2 linked regions of the Coturnix japonica genome follow. The protein of the gene in region 1 interacts with the protein of each later gene in a biochemical or structural test. Links are inferred from orthologs where the notes say so. Each region holds a gene or a part of one and is shown on either strand. Other genes may lie near its edges. The genes, in order: SEC31A and SEC13.

What was found.
Region 2: the proteins of SEC31A (region 1) and SEC13 form a complex in vitro, tested with the Homo sapiens proteins (2 studies listed by BioGRID and IntAct, with this or other methods). The link is inferred for Coturnix japonica from reciprocal best matches to the Homo sapiens genes SEC31A and SEC13.

What each region holds. Positions count from the first base shown.
Region 1 is NC_029519.1:41,243,442-41,253,991, reverse strand, and holds part of SEC31A (protein transport protein Sec31A), read right to left. Parts: intron 9,786-10,550; coding exon 9,690-9,785; intron 9,140-9,689; coding exon 8,999-9,139; intron 8,220-8,998; coding exon 8,077-8,219; intron 7,415-8,076; coding exon 7,315-7,414; intron 6,465-7,314; coding exon 6,303-6,464; intron 6,104-6,302; coding exon 5,951-6,103; intron 4,162-5,950; coding exon 3,925-4,161; intron 3,371-3,924; coding exon 3,296-3,370; intron 1,487-3,295; coding exon 1,430-1,486; intron 720-1,429; coding exon 642-719; intron 1-641. UniProt on the Homo sapiens protein: Component of the coat protein complex II (COPII) which promotes the formation of transport vesicles from the endoplasmic reticulum (ER).
Region 2 is NC_029527.1:16,779,415-16,790,422, forward strand, and holds SEC13 (protein SEC13 homolog), read right to left. Parts: upstream 5,629-11,008; 5' UTR 5,602-5,628; coding exon 5,527-5,601; intron 4,943-5,526; coding exon 4,779-4,942; intron 4,422-4,778; coding exon 4,270-4,421; intron 3,408-4,269; coding exon 3,274-3,407; intron 2,567-3,273; coding exon 2,433-2,566; intron 2,208-2,432; coding exon 2,087-2,207; intron 1,888-2,086; coding exon 1,741-1,887; intron 1,320-1,740; coding exon 1,209-1,319; 3' UTR 507-1,208; downstream 1-506. Other genes in the region: cullin-associated NEDD8-dissociated protein 1-like, read left to right, coding at 6,560-6,627, 8,485-8,628, 9,464-9,618, 10,037-10,160, 10,805-11,008. UniProt on the Homo sapiens protein: Functions as a component of the nuclear pore complex (NPC) and the COPII coat. At the endoplasmic reticulum, SEC13 is involved in the biogenesis of COPII-coated vesicles.

The sequences.
Region 1 (10,550 bases):
ACAAACCCCCCAAGGCAAAACAACCACCAGAAGATCAGATATATCCTCCCTTCTCTTTCACTTCCAGCCCCCAGCAGTAACAGTCTCCCACAGTGCTACCAAGGCTGCACTTTATCCCTTCAGGTGCAAACGGGCTGGCACTGGGATGCCAGTGAGAGTGATGCTGAGAACTGATATTCCCACCATCACAGCTACATCACTGCAAAAGGTTCTATCTAGAATCAGAGCAGTAATAAGCCGACTGCTTGGTAATTATTAACCCGAGGGAGAGAAGAAAGCGGTTAGGAAAGGCATTAAAAGAGAAATTCAATTAGAGTTGTGGTAGGAGATCATTTAGTACGTGTTAGGTAAATGTCAGAGTGAAAAATGAGAGTGGATGGAAGTCCTTGGCTCTGGTGCCAACTGGACTGTTACAAAATGAACTTGTCCTTCAATGCCACCAAAATCTATTCTAGTGTTGGCCAAGACTGATAAGAAAACCCCATGGAACTTAACAAGAGCCCACACATTATTCATTCTCAATAACACTTGTACATCCACAGATAATAGCAGGAAAAAAGGCAAAAAGATGAAATGTTCTTAAGAGTAACAAAGTAAATACACAGGAGGTCAACAGGGTTAGTCTAGAGGATAATAGATACCTCTCCCAAGAAATGCTCCTCTGCAGTCTGGCCTTCATCCCCTTTGTTCAGTAAAGGCACATCAGATTCTGTGGGAGCCTTAAGCAAAGAGAAGATGTCACAATAAAGGAGAAAGCCAGACAAGAGAAAGAAAGAAGTAATTTGCACTGCAGAGAATAGCCAACTTCTCATCATAGTCAGAGCCAGTCTGCAAAGCAGAGAAACGAATTGACAGTATATGCGCAAATACAATGAACATGGCAGAAACCCTCTATCTCCTTGCTTTTTGCTATTGCATGGTAAAACTTCTCAGCTTAGTTGCTTAAGAATGTGTAGCCTTTTTTTTCCCCCCACCATTAGGCAGCTACACGTGACATCCAGATTGTGTAGAGCACAAGCAACACCAGCATCCTTTGAGTTAGTCAGTCAGGAAAGCATTACAGATGCACATTCCCAAGTCTGTTTGTTTGTTTTTACCTCTAAAGCCTGTGTTGCTCTTGACACCAGCTGGCAGGCAGGCAAAGCTCTGCCCAACTTCACAGGAACATACTTTGCAACAGAAGGCTACACATAGGTAGCAAAAGAGCAAGAGGGAAGGATATCTGAGACTTGGGAATTGATATCTTGGGACTGACAGCCTGCTGCTAAAAAACAAGGGGAAATGAGGGGAAAATAGTAGTCCTGTTTTCTCTAAACAGAGATGTTCATCCTATTGAATGCAGCCACTCATCATGCTCTGGATTGAAACCGACTTATTCTGGGGCACTCTAATACTATGTGTGGAGTTGAATGTGCATTCATTTGCTTACCTCTCCCAGTTCGCCATCTGCACAACACTCTTTATTCAGATTCAGAGCTGATGTAATCTGAAAAGAACCAAGATTTGTTAAGGAAGTGCCCTTTTCCTTTAGAGACAGACTACTCTCAGACTGCACAACTAATAAATGTAGCTGGTATGCTGCTTGCAAAACAGTTAACATGAAGTTAGAGCCATTTTCTCAGTCTGGTGATGGAATTACAACTAAGCCCTGTGCACCCCAATCTCTGATGGAAACAAGAGCTGCTCTGTGCCTTTAAATCTTTTATTGTTAACCTGAGGGCCTCAAACCTCACTAGGGCTGCTGGAAACCACACTAATAAAAATAATATCAGAGCATACAAGAAGAAACCCTCTGTGTGCCCTGATGAGGGAATAACGTAGCAGTAACAATCTTGCTGGAGCAACAAACTGGTTTGAAAGCAGTTTCCAGACACAGCAGGCACGTGGCCTTGTGGTAGGACTTTCCAATGTACATCAGAGTTCAAATTCCCAGCTTTTACCACTTGCCAAGACAAATCATGACTCCGGATTCATTCTGGGGCCCTTAAAACTGCATGAAATGTAATGAACGGAATTTAAAATATAGGCAGAAGATATATTAGTTGGAGCTGTTTTCTTGTGTTTTGTTTTCTTCCATTTCTGATCATATGTGTAAGACAAATGATAAATGAAAAAGTTTAGATTCAAGGACAAACTGCCAGCAAAAACATTGTCTATAATCCTAAGTTTAGCATTTAATTGGTAAACAGTGTCATTTTTATGGAGACGCTTTCAAAACAAAATGTTAGCTTGACACAATAGCAATAAATCAGACATTCAAAACCATTCCATCACAACTGGGAAAGCATTTGACAAGTTCCTGAGCTCAGCACTGCAAGCAGCTAAGAGTCACAATGTGCAGCATCACACCACCAAGCTAAGAATGTTCTTCCACCTCCATTTCCAAGAAGTAGAAATTGCTTCCTGATAATTCAGACTTTGCCTTTCCAAATGTAGCCGTGTGTGATCTCGGTTTTCTTTTATCTTAATTATGAGTGACATCCCACACAAAAAATGACTATTCTAGGCTTGTCAGAATGCTTACAGCATACCTGTCTGACCTGCTGGCTTCATATTCTTGATGAAAATTTTCTGCTCCTATATATTTAACTGTATTATATGTTTTACATGCAGCTCAAGACAACTTCCTCTACACTCAATATGGCCCAGGTAAGACAAAAAGTCGGACACTCATGGCTTATGAGTTCCTGAATCAAAAAGCCTAAGAACAGATCAGATTCAGCGGTGATACAAAATAAGGGTGTATCTTCAATCAAGTCACATGAACAAATTGTACCAGATATCAAAGCTTCTGGATGGGCAAAAATTTCTCATCAGCATGGGAAGCTCAGATGTAGATTAGACTGTGAAGTCTGTTGGCTGCTTTGAAGTTCCCATTGTAGAGCTGTATTCCAAGATGGCTTAACTAACAAAATGCCTAAAGCAAATTGCGATTGCTGTAAGAATTCCAAAATTACTCAAGATATTCAGTCCTCTCTGATACAAAGGAATTCCACAAATAACACAAATACTCGAGTCTGCCATGTTTGTACAGAAGATCCTGCAGCACTGCTAACACTTGTACCTACAAGCTATTAGGAAAGTTCAGGCGCTGACAAATGCTACCTGCTGAGAAACACACTGAAAACAGCATTGTAGAAAGAAGTTTATTGTGCTGGAATAGCCTGTGGCTATCACTAATGGCTCTTACAATATCCCACACATAAATGAATACCTTGGTTATACAAGGCTGTACTTGGCAGATAAATCCATCAGCAAAGTATTTAACACAAGCACAGCTCTCAGGCACGCTTACCTTATTCCTCAGATCATCATTCCTGTATCCCAGCAGCTCAAGATATTTAGAACGTGAATCCTCTTCAAAGTTCACCTTCAAAAAAAGAAGACTAGATTGCAATGCATGATTTCCATACACTCACCCACTGACTTTTCACTTAATTGGAAAAAATACTCAGTGAGAGCCAGCAACTGACAAGAAAGCATCAAGGAAAATAAAATAAAACAAATAAAAAAAAAACCCGACAAGGTCTTCAGTGAACTGAGCATCTGAGCAGGTAGGCAAGACTTCAGTCTGATTATTGCAGGTAAACTGTGCATACCTGCTTCATTTGGGATCTTCTAAATGTTCATAGTAAACAGTGAAGCACTTAAAAGATGTAGTGAAAGGGAATGACAAAAACAGAGGATGCCTCTTCCAAGTCCTTGTTGCTCTCATGGTCACCTATGAAGCCAACGAAGACCTCAGGCTCTAAGGACCCTCATTTTTCTGTTGGGCCACCCTACTAAAAGAGATTACGTGCACCAGAGTCCACACTCATCATTCCCAACATCCCTTCTGCTAGAACACTATAATGTGGAGAAGAAATCCTTATTGCAATGACTTTCCCTGCTAATGAAAACTCCTGGACTGCTCTCAGTTGTTACCTTTAAGAAGGCCCACACGTTTCTCTCAAAGTCAGCCTGGGCCACATCGATTTTCTTCTGGCAGTAGCTGACAAAGCCTTCAGACTGCACAGCCTCCTGCAGCTGTGTTGAACGTGCCAGGAACTCCTTCTCTGTAACGACCTGACTCACATAGACATAGTGACGCTGCGGCTGCTGATCAATGCCTGGCTGCTGTTGAGGCTTGGCATTCTCAAATGTAACCAGCTTGCCTCCAAACTGGAATAAAGACACAAGCAGAGCATGTAAAAATGCAAGTACGCACTTGGATATGTGTGAAAAAACTATGCATACATAACACACGCACATGTTTTCATTTGATACATAAATGATCATTCAGCAAACAAATATCAGCTTGTATCACCACCCCACATTCCCATGCAATAAAGCAGCTCGCTGGATAAGTGTGTGTGAGACCTGAGAAATGGGTCTGTGAGTATCTGGTGCTATGACAGTGCTGTACAAGGTGTGGCAGCAGTTAATTTTGTTCACTGCAGCCCATGCAGTGCTATGTTTTGGACTGGTGATTGAAATAGCGTTGACACCACACCCCTGTTTTAACTGTTGCTACATGACAGTTACACCACATCAGAGTATTCTGTGTCTCAAGCTCCCCCTCCAGCAAGGAGTGGAGGAAATGGGGGGACATCTTGAGTTATGGCATTTCTCTTACCAAATACCCACTATGCATGATGAAGCCCTGCTTCTTCAATGCTTAAACATCTGCATGCCAGTAGGAAGGGGTGAACGTATTCCTTCCTCCTTTGCTTCCACATGCAGCTTTTGCTTTATCTATTTAAACCGGCTTTATCTCAATTAATGAGTTTTCTCACTTTTATCCTTCTGATTCTGTACCTAATCCAACTGTAAGAGAGCCAGTGGGCAGGTAAACGAGGTTCAGGGGCTTACTAGGGTTAGCCCACAACACACTAAAAAACCCTATGCATCATTAAATAGATGCTCAAGTATCATGTGTACCCTACTTACAGCAGCCTGTTTACAAATTCAAACAATTTCGGCAGTGAATTGAATTGAAATTTAGAAAGAAATAAAACCAACAGAAAGGAAAGGAAAAAAAAAAACAACATTAAATGGTGCCTAGAATACGATTTCATTTTATAGCTTAAAGTCAACTGACACAGGCCAGACCAAAGTGAGCATTACAAAAACTATGGCCAAGAAAGAGGCTGACAAATTGGAAAACCAGGACAAGGAAATAAACTGTTATAAAATGACACATCAATCAGTGGCTAGGCAATATTGCTTCTACTTGAGAGGAGAAAAGCTGCATTTAATTTGTGGATGAGATGACGAATAAGCAGACACACTGATAAAAACAAAGGCAGTACTTTGGCACAGCAATCCATTTCAAGTAGACTGTCTGCCTAAAAATCTTCATTAATTCTCTTGGGAAACAGCCTCAGAGTCCAGAAAGCAAGGCACTGGTGGTAGCTGAAGAGCAAATGACCCTGCTCTCATGAAAAGCAGGGCCTTGCCTGCCTGTCATACAGCTTCTCTGCAACTCCTACAATGAGAGAGGAGCCCAGGCCTGTGTGCTGTTTCAGGGGCTCCTGCTACCTTCCATCAGAGCATACCTAGTTATCTTTCTCCACGCTGAGCCATATAATGCCTACAAACTGGACTGAAATCTCAGCTAGTTGCCCAACTTGTCCCTTCCAATAATACATTTGTTTATTCAAAGCAAACACTACACAAGTAAAAGCAAAGCCCTCAATTCCAAAACAGAAAGAAGTGCCTCTGGGCAACACAATGCCTCCCCATTTCTTTCTCCAAGCATTTTTGTCATGCTTTTGCTGGCATGCTGTCCCAAATGCCCAGTCCAGATGCTGTTTTGAGCATCTCCTGTCACCCCAGCAAACAGGGCACACTCTCATGATGTGGAACACAATGACAAATTCCCCTGTTTCAGATGTGCTTTGCAGGTGCCACCACTACCTGTATCTCCCTCCTGCCTGGCCAGCTGTGCCCAGACACGGTCCCTACTCACAGAGAACGATGCTCCCACAGGTCGCCGGATCCATTTGGGGGGTTTCTTTAGGGGCAGAACGACGCTCTGTGGTGCAGTCTGCTGGGGAAGCTGCAGGGGTGGGAGAGGCTGTCCTGTCCCAAATGGGTCAAGGTTCCCAAATGAGGATGAAAGCTTTGAAAATAAAAAGGTGTGGAAAAAACCCACAAAACCTAGAGTGAGACATCATCTCCAATAAACTGAACTGTTTCTTTTTTCTACAGCAGATTAGTACTCCTGCAAGCACACAGTTGGGACACCCTCCAAAGGCTACCCACAAACCCATGCTTTATCCCCTTTCTAACCATTTTCTTAGCTTCATGCTTCTCAGTACCTGGTCAACGTGCTTCTGCCTCAACCCGTCCGTGCTGCCTCCCATGATAGAGTAAATGCTGATCCGTCCATCGAATGCAGCTGCAGAGAGGATGGCAGGATTTCTGGGACACCATTGGATGTCAAAGCACCACTGCATGTTTGTGGGCAACTCATAGAGAACCTGGGCAGCAGAAACAAGTCCGGTACATCAGAGTGAATATGAAATACCATGAGCAGCAACAGCAACTTTCCTGTGTGCCCAGAGACGAAGCTGCTCTTCTTGCTCCCCAGCAGCCCCCACATCACCCATACACACTAACAATGAGGACGTGACAATCCAGCACCACACACCACTGCTTTATCTCCTATTCCCATTGACTTTTCTGTTTATTCCACATATGGTCAGCTAAGCAGGCAGTGTATTTCTGTGCTGCACGTGCAGCTACTGACTTGGCTCTGTGCATTGTGACGAGCTGCTGGAACTCGTGGTAACTCATCCACAAAACATGGGAACACACCCAGGCTCCAAAGGCAGTATGTTCTGGGGGACAACTGGGAGAGTTAAAACCTATGCTGCTCCCAGGAGTTTCTCCTGGCCCAGAACAGACAAGTTTACCACTACAAGAGACATTTAATCTCAAAGAAAGGATTTGTTCTTTGCTTGTCTACTAAAGTTTTGCTGAGGGGGCCAAGCAGTAACTGCATCACTGTCTCCCAGGAAAAGGTTTTTATTTTACATCAAACTATGCAGTATGAGTCACCCAAACGTAGAGCTCCCCAGCTCAGAATCCAGCTTGGATCACACACCTGCTATCCCACCTTTTGCCTTACACTTCTGCAGCCAAGTCTGGATTCTGACAGCACATCTCTCCCTGTCTGCAGAATGATCTTGCCCACACAACAAGCAAGAAGTCCATATTGCAAAAATTAGTGAAAGTGCTTGAAAACAGATCAACTGCTCTTAAATTGCTGCTTTACATAACACCATGACACCTCCAAACAGTTTTTAGTAAGTGATGTGCATACAGTACCTCGCCCGTGTTAGGGTTTGAACACAGTATTTTGGCATCCTTCCCACAGCTTAGTAGCAGCTCTGAATCTGCCATACTCCAAGCAATAGCCAATATACCCCTGTGTGAGAAGTCACAACCAAGTAACATATTAATACGAATGCAAAATGGTGATACAGCATGTTTGTCAGCAAGTTGCTACAGTAGCTGAGCAGTCTACGTCAAAATGTCCTCCCCACTCCTTCTTCTGTTTTTTGCATGAGTAGCTGTAAAGGTACAGTCACCATAAATAAAATTCAATTAAATAAAATTAAATTCAACACTTCTGTATGCAGATATGGTTACCAATCCACTCAAATGGTTCGACTGATTGCACCATCATTAACACATTTTATGCAAACTAATAGGTTGAAACAGTGATTATCAACATTCTGACAGCTTTTTATTAGCAGAAAATCTGTATCAGCTGAGCGACTGGCAGCAGTTTTGGCGGTAGCTGCAACACAGACACTGCTGCTCTTTACGTAAATCAATCTACTGCCGACCTTGCAGTCCAGCTGCTTCTCAAACAGAACAGAAGCAAACCAGGAACTTTAAAGTTATTTTTAATGTGAGGCCCATTCCCTTCCAGCCAGCAGTATCCAACACTGCTTGCTGCTGGAAAGTGGCTCCACCTAAGCAAGCATTGGTAGGGAACCACACAAACAGTGAGATGAACTAACTGCTATAGTCATAAACAGTGTGAACATTAAAGAGCAGCAGGTCACAACAAGCGTCTCGTACCTCGTATGGCTTTCCAAAACACGCAGTGGAGAGGAGGTAAATCTAAGGTCCCACATCTGAATCACGGGTAACCTGTCATCCTCCGAAGCCAAAACCATCTGGGTAGCAACATCGGGGTGCCAGGCCAGGCCCGAACAGTGCATCTAAGGGATAACATTGTGCCACAGCACAGGGTAACCACATAGTGCTAAAGGACAGAAGGCCACCAGTCTAAATAGATTTGCAAGGAAAACACAATCTCAAGATGCCAATTAGCAGCTGTACTTCTGGATGTTGCTTCTGACTGCACTGAGATTGGGATACTGTCCTCATCTCCACGAGCGAGACTTGGAGTGAGATCCTGAAGGCTCTCCTGTTTATAACTGTTTTAATACAAGAATACTGTAAAAGCAGCTGAACAGAGTTTTTTCACTACTTTAGTATTTATTGGTATTTTAATAAAAGCCATCATTACGCAGAGGCTATCATCACATGAAAGCTCCATCAGAGCATTACAATTACACAGTGAAAACAGCTTACCGTACTGCTATTACATCAAGGAACAGATATGTAAAATATGAAGTTAGGAAGCTTATCTGAGCAGGAATGCAGTGACCAAGCAGCTCATTCAGGAGCACACACACGTAAATTTTATCCTGAACTTGCTACACCCTCAGTGTTTTTATAGCAATACTCACTTATATTTATAACAAATCATACAAATATTTCACTCTCCATAAGATAAGTGGGCTCTTTTCTGTATTGACAGCATGGGAGGTGTGATGGCTTTAAGCATATGGGAGTAGGGGTAATCAGGTCATGGGTTAAATTCTTCTGTGGTGTTCCATCACCACGACCTATCCTTGCCAAGCTCTGCCAGTGACATCCAAGCCACCTGCACTTCCCTGTAAGTACCGATGCAGTTGTGCCAGAGCTAACTCACCCGGTTGTTGTGGTCGCTGACTTTGATGATGGGTTCATTTTTCCTGAGATCCCACACAGTAGCTCGACCGCTGGGGCTGGCGGAGGCCAGGATGTGCTGGACTTGCCTGTTCCACGCAATGCAGCTGATGTCTTCAAGAGGCTGCCACACAAACAGCACAGCCTGTCACACCCTTTCCAAAATAATGTCTTAAGGAGTGGGGAAAGTTTGTTAGCTTTTCTACTTCCTTCCCCCAGAACAGAAAAGCAATGCTAACCCAGCCCTTCTTGGCGCACTGCATTCCCTAAAGTCAATAAGCACATGGACTAAAAGACTGCACAGCTTAAAAACAGACCTCCCAGCACAGAAAATCCTACACAGGAATCCTTAACAAAAGCAAGCTTCCTTCAAAATGACCACATGAAAACAAACTAAAGTCACTCAGGAACAACATACAGCAAAGGAACTTGGTTTTACTTACATTAATATGAAGGTATTCGTTATTTGTTTTACCACATAGACTGTAACTAAGATTGCCAGAAATGCAGCTCACTGTTAATTGCAATTAACTGATACTCAAGTTAAATTTTAACACTCTCCCCCACCCCCAGGCAGCTTCAAAGCTGTCGGTCTTAATGAGCTCACATCCTAAGTAACATTCGTGTTTTCCATTAGTTTACTCTGCAGTATTTCATGAATACCTATCTAGTACCTGTGTCTTTGCTCCCGGAGTCATCGGTGTGGCAAAATTATTTAAGTCCCAGATATAGATTTCAGACTCATTAGCACCAGAGGCCACCAGATTAGTCTGTAAGACACGTTAAAATATGGTAAGAGTATTTTCAGCACCAGCTTTTGCAGTCTTAGCCACAGACTGACGAGTCTGTGCCAATTTCTTCTTAAGGGAAAAGCAGCAACACCAGAGATTGAAGATAAATGCCAAGTAAGTAAAGGAACTCCCCACACCAAATCAGACCAGTGTGCCAAGAACAAGATTTCTGTCTCACTGAGGGTTCCTCCACTGCATGGCAAACATGTGAAGAAGCTACAGCCACAGAGGGCCCAGTGCTGACATTTCTAGGATAGAGCAGATGGGGAAGCAGCATTTTGCCCCAGGGCCGGGCTGGCTGGAGGGAACATGGCACTTGAGCCTCCAGCCCAATCCTGTGGCCAGGATGCAAACATCCAGGCAGTGTGATGTGGTTTAGTGGCACCGAGCACCCTTTGTCTGCATCCTACAGCCGCTGACATGCAAGTCCTAACTTCATAAGGGACAGAAAGAGAGGAAGCTCTTCAGAGAAGGCACAATGAACAAAGGGTGGCCTTGCTAAAAGTAAGTGTGTATAGACAGAAGCGTTATTTAGGAAACAAAATCAACTCAGTTCTCATGCAGCTGGTGGGGGGCTGAGGAAAAGCTGACCCGCTGAATCTAGAAGCAACTAAACTCTCATCAGCAAGTGAGAAAAGCTTGAGAGTTCTGCCTTAAGAGGCTGCACCATGGTGTATTTGCTCTGACTCCCTTTTCCAAGTGAAATATTTAGAGCTGTGTGTGGCAACAATCTGTTAAAACAGG
Region 2 (11,008 bases), on another chromosome or scaffold:
CAGGAACAGAAGGAACGAAGTGGGAACATACAGTAAAGGATGACAAATTTACACCTGTTACTTGTGTTCTAGCTAGACTTGAATGATGCGGCTGATCTGTGGGATTTCTTCTGTGCTACAGCTCACAAATCTTCAGTGGTAGGATTGAGGGTCGTAGGGCAGCTGAGAACAAATGCCCTCTGCAACAGAGCTATGTTAAGAAGTTCTGGTAGAATTAGATCACCATCTTGACTTTTGTCTGAGAGCCTGCTGGTAGAGAACACCAAGGAGCACAAAGAAAGTAGGCAGTGGATAATAATAAGAACCACTGGAGAGCTTCTGGGTCCTAACAGAAGTCCCCTGCATTGTCATGGTATACTGTGGACTCTGGCTAGACTTGGCACTTATTAGCCCTTACGAAGCTAAATACCATACATGAGAGCCACACTAAGGCATCTGTCAAGGTAGACTACAGAAAACCCCAATAAGGCCCCCTGTGAAAGATTTCCAAATACAGCACACCAGACTTTAACCAATAAGACTTTATTTTATTGTCTAAACAAAAACCTGAGGTACAGTATAGAATTGTGGCTAAAAAAAAAAAGTCTTCAAATTGTATTTTCATTTGTTGATGTTCTTTAAATAAACAAGTTTGAGATTAGCGTAAAGCAAAATAGATATGCATTCTGCTACTCTTTTTCATCTTTGGGAATGCACTGAGATTTTCATGTATCTGAGCATATTACTTTCAGGGAAACCCACACACCATTTCAGTACTACCAGAACACTGGCTACTGCTGACTCCACCAGCCTGCTCCATCACTTGAAGTAGTTTTGGCCTTTGAGTGGCCAGATGGGTTACACAGATGGTTTCACACACGAGCACTTTCATTGCCTGCCTCCTCCTGTTCCTGCTCAAGTGCTTGAAGTGTATCCAATTAAATCTAACTCCTAAACTAGAAGGCAGGTTACAGTTTTTACTGTGTTAGGGAGTAGCACAAGGCACAATACTTTGCTCCTCTCTTCATCTTTAATTTAAGGGAATGTCAAGTAAGGCTGATTTTCTACACAATGTAGCCCCCCAGTATTGTTTAAGATTGCTCATAGAATTGGCTAATTATTTCCCATGTTCACGTCCAGCTTGGATAAAACCAGTTCTCATCTGATTCAAGAAACATTGCAAATCAGGTATAGCCATCACTTCCAGCAGCTGGACTGGTCAGTCCTCATCACTGCTCATTCTGCTGCCCTTCTGTAATGGCAGACACTCCTCCTTGGCCCTTGTTGACATCGCTGATGCATGCCCACAACCCATCTACTGACTCCTTCCACAGCGTGACCTCAAAAACAGAGCAGGAAAAGATGTTAAGTCTTACACATTCTCAGTTTCTCATTTTCTTTGTAATGATTGCATCACTAAGATGGTAATGGTCTATAAGTATAGCAGTGTGTCAGAGTTCTTTCAAGCATCAAATTATTTATTGCTGTTTGCTAAATCATTATCCAGCAATAAAGGGAGTAAGAATTAATTCCAATGGTAATATCCTTACAAAATAAAATTAAGCCTACATTTCCAATCAGGACTAAGAATGCAGTGCATGTAGTTTGCCAGAGGTTGGAGTCTTCCTCCCCTTTAGGTAAATAAATAAATAACCACAAAAAAACACCACTGCATCAAAGGGAAGTCTTTAAAAGTCTTAACTCAAAACAACAAAAGTGAAAATATGACATGCAAGAGCAAACTGAGGCTGCAGTACTCACTTTATTGTCTCCTCCAGACACTGCGAGTATATTTGCAGTAATGGACCAACTCACATGCCAAACAACATCATTGAACTTGTGCAGCAATTTTGGTGACCATGAATTTCCAGAGGCATCATCACACGTCCAGATAAACACTCTGCCATCCTATAACAACAAACAGAATTGGCTACCATGAGTTAGTAATACAAAAACCAAGCTTGTCTGCATTGCCAATGATGACTGCACTTACACAGGCATGAACTCTAAATGTGTCTATTTGCATATTCACTGTACATGACGGTCTTTTTCCTTTCTATAGCCAAAAGCAAGGCGTAAGTACAGCTCACTCCTACCTAAGTCTCACCTGTGAACAGCTAGCAATAGTACTTGTTGGCAAGCCTATGGATGGAGCCCAGGCTACATCTCGGACCCAGTCACTGTGTGCCTCCAGCTTCTGCTCTTCTTTCCACTGACCATCTTCTTCTCTGAAAACATATTTACACAGATAAGATTAAGCAGATCTCACACGAATTGCTATGAGAGTTTCTAAGACATTAAGTTGTTTCTATTTTTAAAGTGCTTTTCTAAAATAGTAAAAGATAGTTAAAGATGAAAGCATATAGATGCCTGAAGTATAATTCAAGGTGCTAATACAGACATTCAGAAACCATAAAGAATGAAGTTCTTAAGCCTGGTAAGAGAGCACTTACTTCCAGATCTTGACAAGGTTGTCACAACCACCAGATGCAAATCTTTTGATATAGTTTGGTTTCTGACCAGACGGTTGCTCTATGAGGCTGCCTGGTACAACAGCAGGAGCCCAGCTAACTGCATTACATCCGATCTATGCAAGGAAAAAATAAGGTCATTACTAAAAGCTGTGGAGGGAGCAAAGGACATCTATGCTGGATGGATAAGAACTCCAAACATTGTTCTATTCTTGACTGGACATTTATTCAGGAAGTGTTATGTAGCCAAGTAACTGTCTTACAGGCAAATATCATTTTGGAAATGTATACAGTGGAGATAGATTAAAAAAAAAAAAAGCAGAGGTGCAAGATGTATGCTGTTGCTAAGAGTGAGGAATGCAGAAAGAATCTGTGTGCCCACAGCTCCGTTTTCTTTTAATGCAAGCCACCATCATTATCTGCTTAGATGGCTGTCAAGTTTTGTTTAAACAAGAAGTCCCACTGCTGTGGGAAAACCACGAGTTTTTCCCTGCAGTTTTTCCAGCTTCTTGTTGAAGTTTACTCACAGCCAGGTTGTACGAGGTATTCTGAGTATCAAAGCCATTTCCCACTATGTCACTTCCAGCACTGTGTTTAACAGTCATGATCAGATGTACTATCAGTGCTCTTTAATGGCTTTCACCTCTTATTTTCTACTTCACTTCACTTACTATAAAACATACTTTCTTACTTTAGATTTATTTAAAACAAGTTATTTTTCGGTTTTGGAGAACAATTCACAATATTTAATTGTATTTCAGTATTTATTTAGTCTGCACACTCTGAAGCATCAGCTCAATCCTCATCCATGGCTCCAACTTACAGTGTGTGCGTTGCTGATCTTTTTCACCTCCCACTGCCCATCACCAGTGTAGCTCAGTAATGAAATGGCGCCATCAGAGCTCCCACAGGCCAAGATCAGTCCATAGTCATGTGGTGCCCAGCAGACAGAATTCACTGTGAGGGATGAGACAGACTGGGTTACAACACAGTGCTAAAACTGCTTAACCCAATCACTGACTAGTACCAGTGAATGGTCACTAAAAGCGAGCAGCTTTGCAAGCTAAGAAGAGTCTTTGCATTCCTGAATTTCAGCAGACAATTACCACAGTTTATCGTATGATGGAAAACTGCCTCTAGTTGTAGCAGACCACCAGAACAGCACTTTCAGTGAGATAAAATCCTCTTGACTGTCCTGTGCAACAGCGAAGAGGTATCAGTGATTCTAGAACAAAGACTGACAAGCTGGAACAGCATTTAAAGTCCAGATCAGTAGCAAAACCAAGGTATGCATCCATTATACACTCATTTTTAACACTGGCTTAGTCTCAGGAGCATGGACCAAGAGTATATTCTAGTTGATTCCTTTGAGAATAAAGAACAATACTGAACAGCAAAGCAGCATTTCTTTCTATGGGCTTTGGCATGCTGAACACTTCAGAAATATTTCAGCTTTGCTTATAGGAGGACTGATCATCTCAACAAAACACTTTCAACTGGAAAACCAAACACAGCATACTAAAATTCCACTTTTTCCTTTCCTCCTTAGTGGATACATACAACACTATTTCAAGACTTCAGTATCCTACAACCTTATTTATCCAAAGCTGATTTACTTGTCCTGTGAAAATGCTGTATGTACCAAGACAGCTGGTTCTCCAGCAGGATGCTGTTCTGCAGATGTCCTTCCTGCGCAGAACAGACTTAGTGTCTTCTTTCCATTAACTTATCACAATCTGATGGAAGATTTCTGCCTAAACAATGACGGATTTATTCCAGTCCAAACCCCATTGCAGTCCCAGCTCCACACACCACAAACCTGAGGAATCGTGTCCTGTGTACTCGTAGGTCTTTTCCCAAGTGCCATTTTCTTCCTTCCAGATAATAACCTTCCTGTCATAGGAGCAGGAAGCCAAGATGTTTCCATACATAGGATGAGCCCAGGCAACCTGCCATACTGGACCTTCATGCCTGCAAGAAACAACATTATCTGGAAGAGCTGATAGAGATGCATTCTGGTTGTGGCTGTTTAAGCCATCACATCACAAACCATTGTTCTGTACATCACTAATACAATGATATAAAGAATATGAGTAAAATCAAGATGAAAAATAGGGCACGACTGCCAGATAAAGCCATTACCATTGAACACAACTCCAAATATTTATCCTTGGATTAAGACTCTGAGTTCAATTCTATAGAATTATTTAGAACAACACGCCACAAAGAACCACCCTGGAGAATTTACCACGCATCCTATGTCACTGAAAGGCTAAACAACAAAAAATTAAAGACTTGCAAAGAACGTCATCTTTTCAGACAATTTACCCTCTCAGGTCTGCAATGAGGATTTGCCCTCCGTTCCGAACATCAAAGATTTTCACAGATCTGTCTGAAGAGCAGGTCGCCAGCCGAGTGCCATAGTAATCCATCTGCGCATCGTGCTGCAAGGCAACGCACAAGGTGCTGTTGGCCCGTGTGAGTTCTGCTTTCTAAATCACATCATTACATTTCAGAAGTAGCTCTAAGAGCTGCAAACAGGTCACTGAGTGGCAGCAGGACAGGGCGAGGGGAACAGGTCTTAAATAACCCAGACAAACCACACCAGTCATTCATTTCCCCACCTGCCATTTTCTGACTGTTACGTGCGCAGTGTGCGGGTTTAGAGTGGGGCTGCACAGCACCCTCAGGACAGGAGCTTGGTGTCACTGAGCGCAAAGCCTTGACCAAGTTACATACTTACTGTGTAAGTTCAGTGTAACTGCACTAACAGCTTTTATTGGGCTTGAAACATCAGCATTTATCAGCACTCCTTGCTTTCATAAGCTGCTTTGTAACCCCTCCTCCTATGCCTGCACAGCTGCTCCCAGAAACACCAGCATCAAGGAGAGCAGAGCTGTCCACCCACACTCTGTGCCATTCAGCACACGTCTTTGTTCCATAGAAACAACCCTGGGCACGGAAACTGTGAGCGTTAAACTTTTCCTCCTTCCCATTTTCCCGCTCCCCATTATGATTATGATTATAGCACTATCAGAACTGCAGTCAGGATTCGGTATTTCACGTCCCACGTCACCTTTCCGTGCAGATACTCGCGTTCTGCCCTCTGACCGCCAACTAACGAACACGCAGCAGTCCCGGTCCAACCCATTGGGCTGAAGGCAGCAGCACGGCACACACTTACTATCATGTCCTCGTGAGAGGTGTCCACGGTGTTTATCACGGAGACCTGCGGAGGGAGGGTTGTGGTCAGGGAGCAGCGCTCGGCTACGGGCACACACACACACGGGCCGCTGCGGAGAGCGGAGCGCCTCTCCCGGTCCCGCAGGCCGCGGTGCTGCCTCCGCCACCTTCTTCCGCCGCCCCCCGCTCTACCCCGAGACACCTCCCCGCCCCGCGGAGCTGGGCCCGGGCTCGGCCCCGCTGCCCTCCCCGGTTCTACCCACCATAGCGGCGGCTGCGGGCCGTGCAGCGGCGGCAGCGATGGATCCGCAGGCGGCCGAGCGGCTCGGACGTGGCACGAAGGTCCGCCGCACAAACAGCCCCGCCGCGACGCCTCCCGCGCAGGAGGTTCCGCCCGCACCCAGTTCCGGCCGGCGCCGTGCGCAGGATGGGGGAAGGCGGCGCTGTCCCGTGCAGATGCTCTCCGTTGTCCCGTGCTGATGCTCTCTCCGTTGTCCCGTGCTGATGCTCTCTCCGTTGTCCCGTGCTGATGCTCTCCGTTGTCCCGTGCTGATGTTCTCCTCTGTCCCGTGCTGATGCTCTCCGTTGTCCCGTGCTGATGCTCTCTCCGTTGTCCCGTGCTGATGCTCTCTCTCCGTTCCGCTCCGTTCCTCGCGGTGCGGCAGTTCTCGTGTCCGGCGGTCGCTGTCAGCCGCCGCTCGGTGCGATTCTCCGGTAGCTGCCTTCGCTCTGTCCGCCGCCGCCTCGCTCCGCCGGCAGGGGCCGCCCGAGGCCCGACGCCGCCGCCCGGCTCCGGCTGCGTCCCGTCCAGGCGGCTGCCCCGCAGCCCGTCCCGCCGCCGTGGGGGCGGCCCCGCGGGGACTGCGCGGCCCCGCCGCCCTCCGCCATCTTCCTGCGGGCGCCCGGCGCCGTGCCGCCCCGCCGCTATGGCCAGCGTGTCGTACCACATCTCCAGCCTGCTGGAGAAGATGACCTCCACCGACAAGGACTTCAGGTGCGGGACGGAGCTCCTGGTTTCCCCTGGGCGGGCCGTCCCCGCCGCCCGGTAGCCGTGGCCCGACGCCGGGCTATGGCCGCACGCGGGGAGCTGTCAGACGTGCTGCGGGACCGCGGGACTGGGGGGGTAGGGCGAGAGGGGCCGCTTTGTCTCATTCTGGATGTCAGTAGAGAAAGAAAGAACTCCGTAGGTGCGGGACGGGCGGCTCGGCGCCCCGGCTGTGCGGCGGGTGCGTTCGGTCCGTTACGGCCGACACCTGTGACAGCTGTTACCGGCAGCCCAGAGGTGCCGCCCTGCCCGTTACCCGCCTCATGCAGCCCGCAGCAGCAGCAGCAGCAGCAGCCCCAGCCCCAGCCCCAGCCCCAGCCCCGTGCTCCGCTCATCCCGCCGGCCGGTGGCCATACTTGGTCATGCTCGTGCTGTGCAGGCAGCGCTGGTGCAGCTCGGGGCCCCTCCGGATCAGAAGTGCCGCGGTTCTGAGTTTTGGGTTTTGCGTGTGTTTCTGGTCAGCCTGATGCCGCCGCTGCCCTCGTGCCGCCCTGGGGAAGGTTCGCGTGTGGGAGACAGCCCCGAACCCCGGAGGGGCATTTCTTCCTTAATGCTGAATGACTTACAGCAGAGCCGGATTTAACATGGAGGTGTCGTCCGATGAGGGGGGAGCTCCTCCTCGGCTCCTTTCGGACACCCGTCCCTGTCCGAGGAGCACATTACAGCAGTTAAGATGTGGTATCTGTACGTGCATTGCTGAGAGCCTCGGGCTCCTGTACATTTTCTGCCCTTAGGAGAACAGGGTTACAGAATTTCTCATTGTGCGTTTTGACGTTGTGCCTGTAGGAAATTACACTGGCTAAAAGTCAGAGGTGTTGTTTTTCTCCTAAGCTGGGATGAGAAGTACTTGCTTGGTTTTGCTCATGGGAGAGAAATGTTGTGCCATATACTGTCTTAGGTTGTAAATAAAATGCGAATGAATTTGATTGGTGGTGGATATGGAATAAAGAGCAGAGGAGTGTTCCTTAATAAAGGGATACTGTAGCATCAGAAAGAGGATGTGGAACACTCAGGGCTGGCAGTGTGAGAGCAGCAGTAGATGTCTGTACTTTTCTTTAGAACAGAAAAAAAAGCTCTGCGAGAGGTGTGAGCGAGGAAACAGGGCAGGTTACAGCCAACACAGCTGCCAGGACCTGTACCAGCCCCAGGGAGCAGGAGGGTGTGAGAAGGAGGGAGGTTGAGCTGAGCAGTGCAGCTCTAAATATAAGTGGGGAATTTTTATGGTAGAGATCTTTTTATAAGGTATAAAGGAACTTTTTTAAGGTACAGAAGAAGTTTAAAGGTCTGGTATGGAGCCATGACTTGATTTTCCATTTTTGAGCTTGATAGACTTTCTCAGTGTGTGGGACTGTGCTGTCATTGCCAGCGATGTCAGAAGGAACACAGCCAGCTGCATTCTCACACCCCATGCTTGGTTTCCTAAGTCTGACAGTTGGTGAAAAACCACTCCTGTTTTTTCTACCGTACTCAGCCGTGCTCATTTGGGCACTGAGAGAAAATGCACAACAGGTCCCACAGTGCCTGTTTCAGTTGTAGCATAACCCATCCCTGTCAAGTATGTTTAGAAGAGAATCTCTATTTCTTGTTTTCGTAGACTTTTTAGCCAAAGCCTTTTCACCAGCTGCCTTGCTCTAAGTTTTCTTCTTGCCAAAAAGTATCAGTTCTATGTACCGTCTTTTTCATTAGAGTGTAAAGTATTGTACGTTACTTTGAAAATCTGTTTTTGTACAAAGAGTGATTGTCAAGAGAAGGAGATGCATTTGTGTCTGTGTATCAGCCAGTCCACCACTGCTACATTTCTTTCAGATTTATGGCCACCAATGACCTGATGATGGAACTACAAAAAGATTCTATAAAACTGGATGAAGACAGTGAGAAGAAAGTCGTGAAGATGCTTTTGAAATTGCTGGAAGACAAAAATGGGGAGGTACAGAACCTCGCTGTCAAATGGTAAGAGCCGTGTCAGAAATTACCGTGTTTGTTGGCAATAACAAAGTGGTCACAGACTCCACTGGGTGTTGCAATGGAGGCTGCTTCTGCTGCATTGGCACCCTGCTCCAGCCTCCCCTCCTGGGAGCTTTCCCTCACCTGCTGCACACGAGTTTCTTTTCCTGTTGGGAACCCTCACCCTCATCCAGGCAGGGTGAGCATGCAGATGCCTTTGTTCAAGCAGTAGGTGATTTCAGAAGTAACTGAGTTCTTACCAAGCTGTGAGGCAGAATGCCTGAGATTTCAGTTCTTTAGAGAGAAGCTCAGTTTAAAGTTCTGGGACATCAAGCTCTTCTCCTTTAGAAAGGCTTGAAATCTGGTGCAGAATTTCCCAGTGGCCTTGTCACTGTTACATATGGTATTAAGCTGATGACATGTATATTGCTGATATACAATTACTGCTTTATGTTTTTAAACTATTTAGCTTGTAATGGGTGCGAATTAAAATAAATAATTGCAAACAAATGCTGTCAAACACATCTTGCACAATTTTAAATACAAACACACAAGCAGTAAACGTAGGTTTTAAAAAGTTTTGATAATGGTAATAATAATATTAGTAATAACAATAAAAAGTGCGGAGTGAAGAGAGCAGACTTCTCATAGCAGTTCTGAGACTTGGCTCAAGAGGAGGCTCTCACACACGTGGCAGAGGACAATAGATAGTTAATAGCGTATAAAAATCATTTGGCATTTGTTCTAGGAAGTCAGTTTCTTACGGATGATTTTGTTTCAAAACATGACTTGGGAAAGCAGTCCTCTTTGTGTTCATTCTTATTTGGTTCTCCTTCTGCAGCCTCGGCCCATTGGTGAGCAAAGTGAAGGAGTATCAAGTGGAGACCATTGTAGATACACTATGCACAAACATGTTGTCAGACAAGGAACAGCTGCGGGACATCTCCAGCATTGGACTGAAAACAGTTATCTCTGAGTTGCCGCCAGCTTCTACAGGTAAAATGTTTGTCCCTGTCTGATAGATTGAGGCAGAAGGGAATCATAGCCTTTGGGAAGCAAGAAAATGGGTTGGTTAGAGTCTGAACAGTATAAATATTCACCAGCTGGGGGACAAGAAATGAAGGGAGGAGGAAAGATGGTTCAAGCTGAAATACTGCTATGGGTGGAGATGAGATTACATGAAATCTCTTGAGCTGGTTAATGGGAGGATACTTATACCTGAAACTGTATCTGAGTTCTTAGGGAAATCCGCTCCTGCAGCTGGATGCACCTTGCTGCTGGTGATGTCTGTCCTTCATCTCAAACAAAAGCTGACTGACTGTCGCTCTTCTCATCTCTTCCTGTGGTGAATTCTTATTTTTAATGTAGGATTGAGACCTCCTTTTAAGTGATAGGGAAGATCTCTGTCTTGCAGGTTCCACAATGACAGCAAATGTATGCAAAAAGATCACAGCCCAGCTGACAGGAGCTATTGGCAAGCAGGAGGATGTATCTGTGCAGCTGGAGGCTCTTGACATCCTGTCAGATATGTTGAGCAGGTAACAAAGGATTTCCTTTGGCATCTGGGTACAGCAAGGGGCTGCGCTGTGTGTGTTTGCTTTTGATTTCTGCATTTCCCTAATCTTACTATGTGGGCTTAAAACTGAAGGATTTGGGTTGGCTGCCATTGGGGGATATCTCAGCAGAGCAGATTGCCCAGCAGGGGTGACGGGCTGCACGCTGAGCCCTTCTGTGCTGGGTAATAGCGGTAACAGTAGTGATGGATCCCACAGAGGCTCTGTTTAAAATAAATAAATAAAGGCAAGGGAGAGCAAAGCAGGGAAGTTTATTTTAGCCCTCTGATCTGATTGCACATGCATTTTTTTTCCTGGCTGCCTCTTTCTCTTGTTACATAAGTCAGAGTGACAGTGTCATATGTCAGCTGCATGCAGGAAATTATTGACGAAACCCCAGGTCATCTAGAAGGACACAATCAAATCAAATTACTGCATAATGAAGACAAAAAACCTCTCCTTATGTTGTGTAGTGCAAGCCAGCGTTCAAACCCAGGATTCCAAAACCACCCATTTGCTCTCCCTTCCCCTTCATGGCTGAAGAGTTTGTACATTTTTTTGCTGGCACAGGAGCTTTTCCTCTGACAGCAATGCTGACTTTCAAATTCTGTTTATTCTGTTGGTTGCAGGCTGGGGGGAACACTCTACTCTTTCCATTCTTCCATCCTGAACTGTCTCCTTCCTCAGCTAACAAGCCCCAGGTTGGCAGTACGTAAAAGAGCCATCATTGCTTTGGGTCATCTCGTCCTGACTTGCAGTGGGAACATCTTCTCAGAGCTCACAGAGCATCTTATTGCTGAGCTGAAGAAGAATGAGTCTACCTCAACTACCAG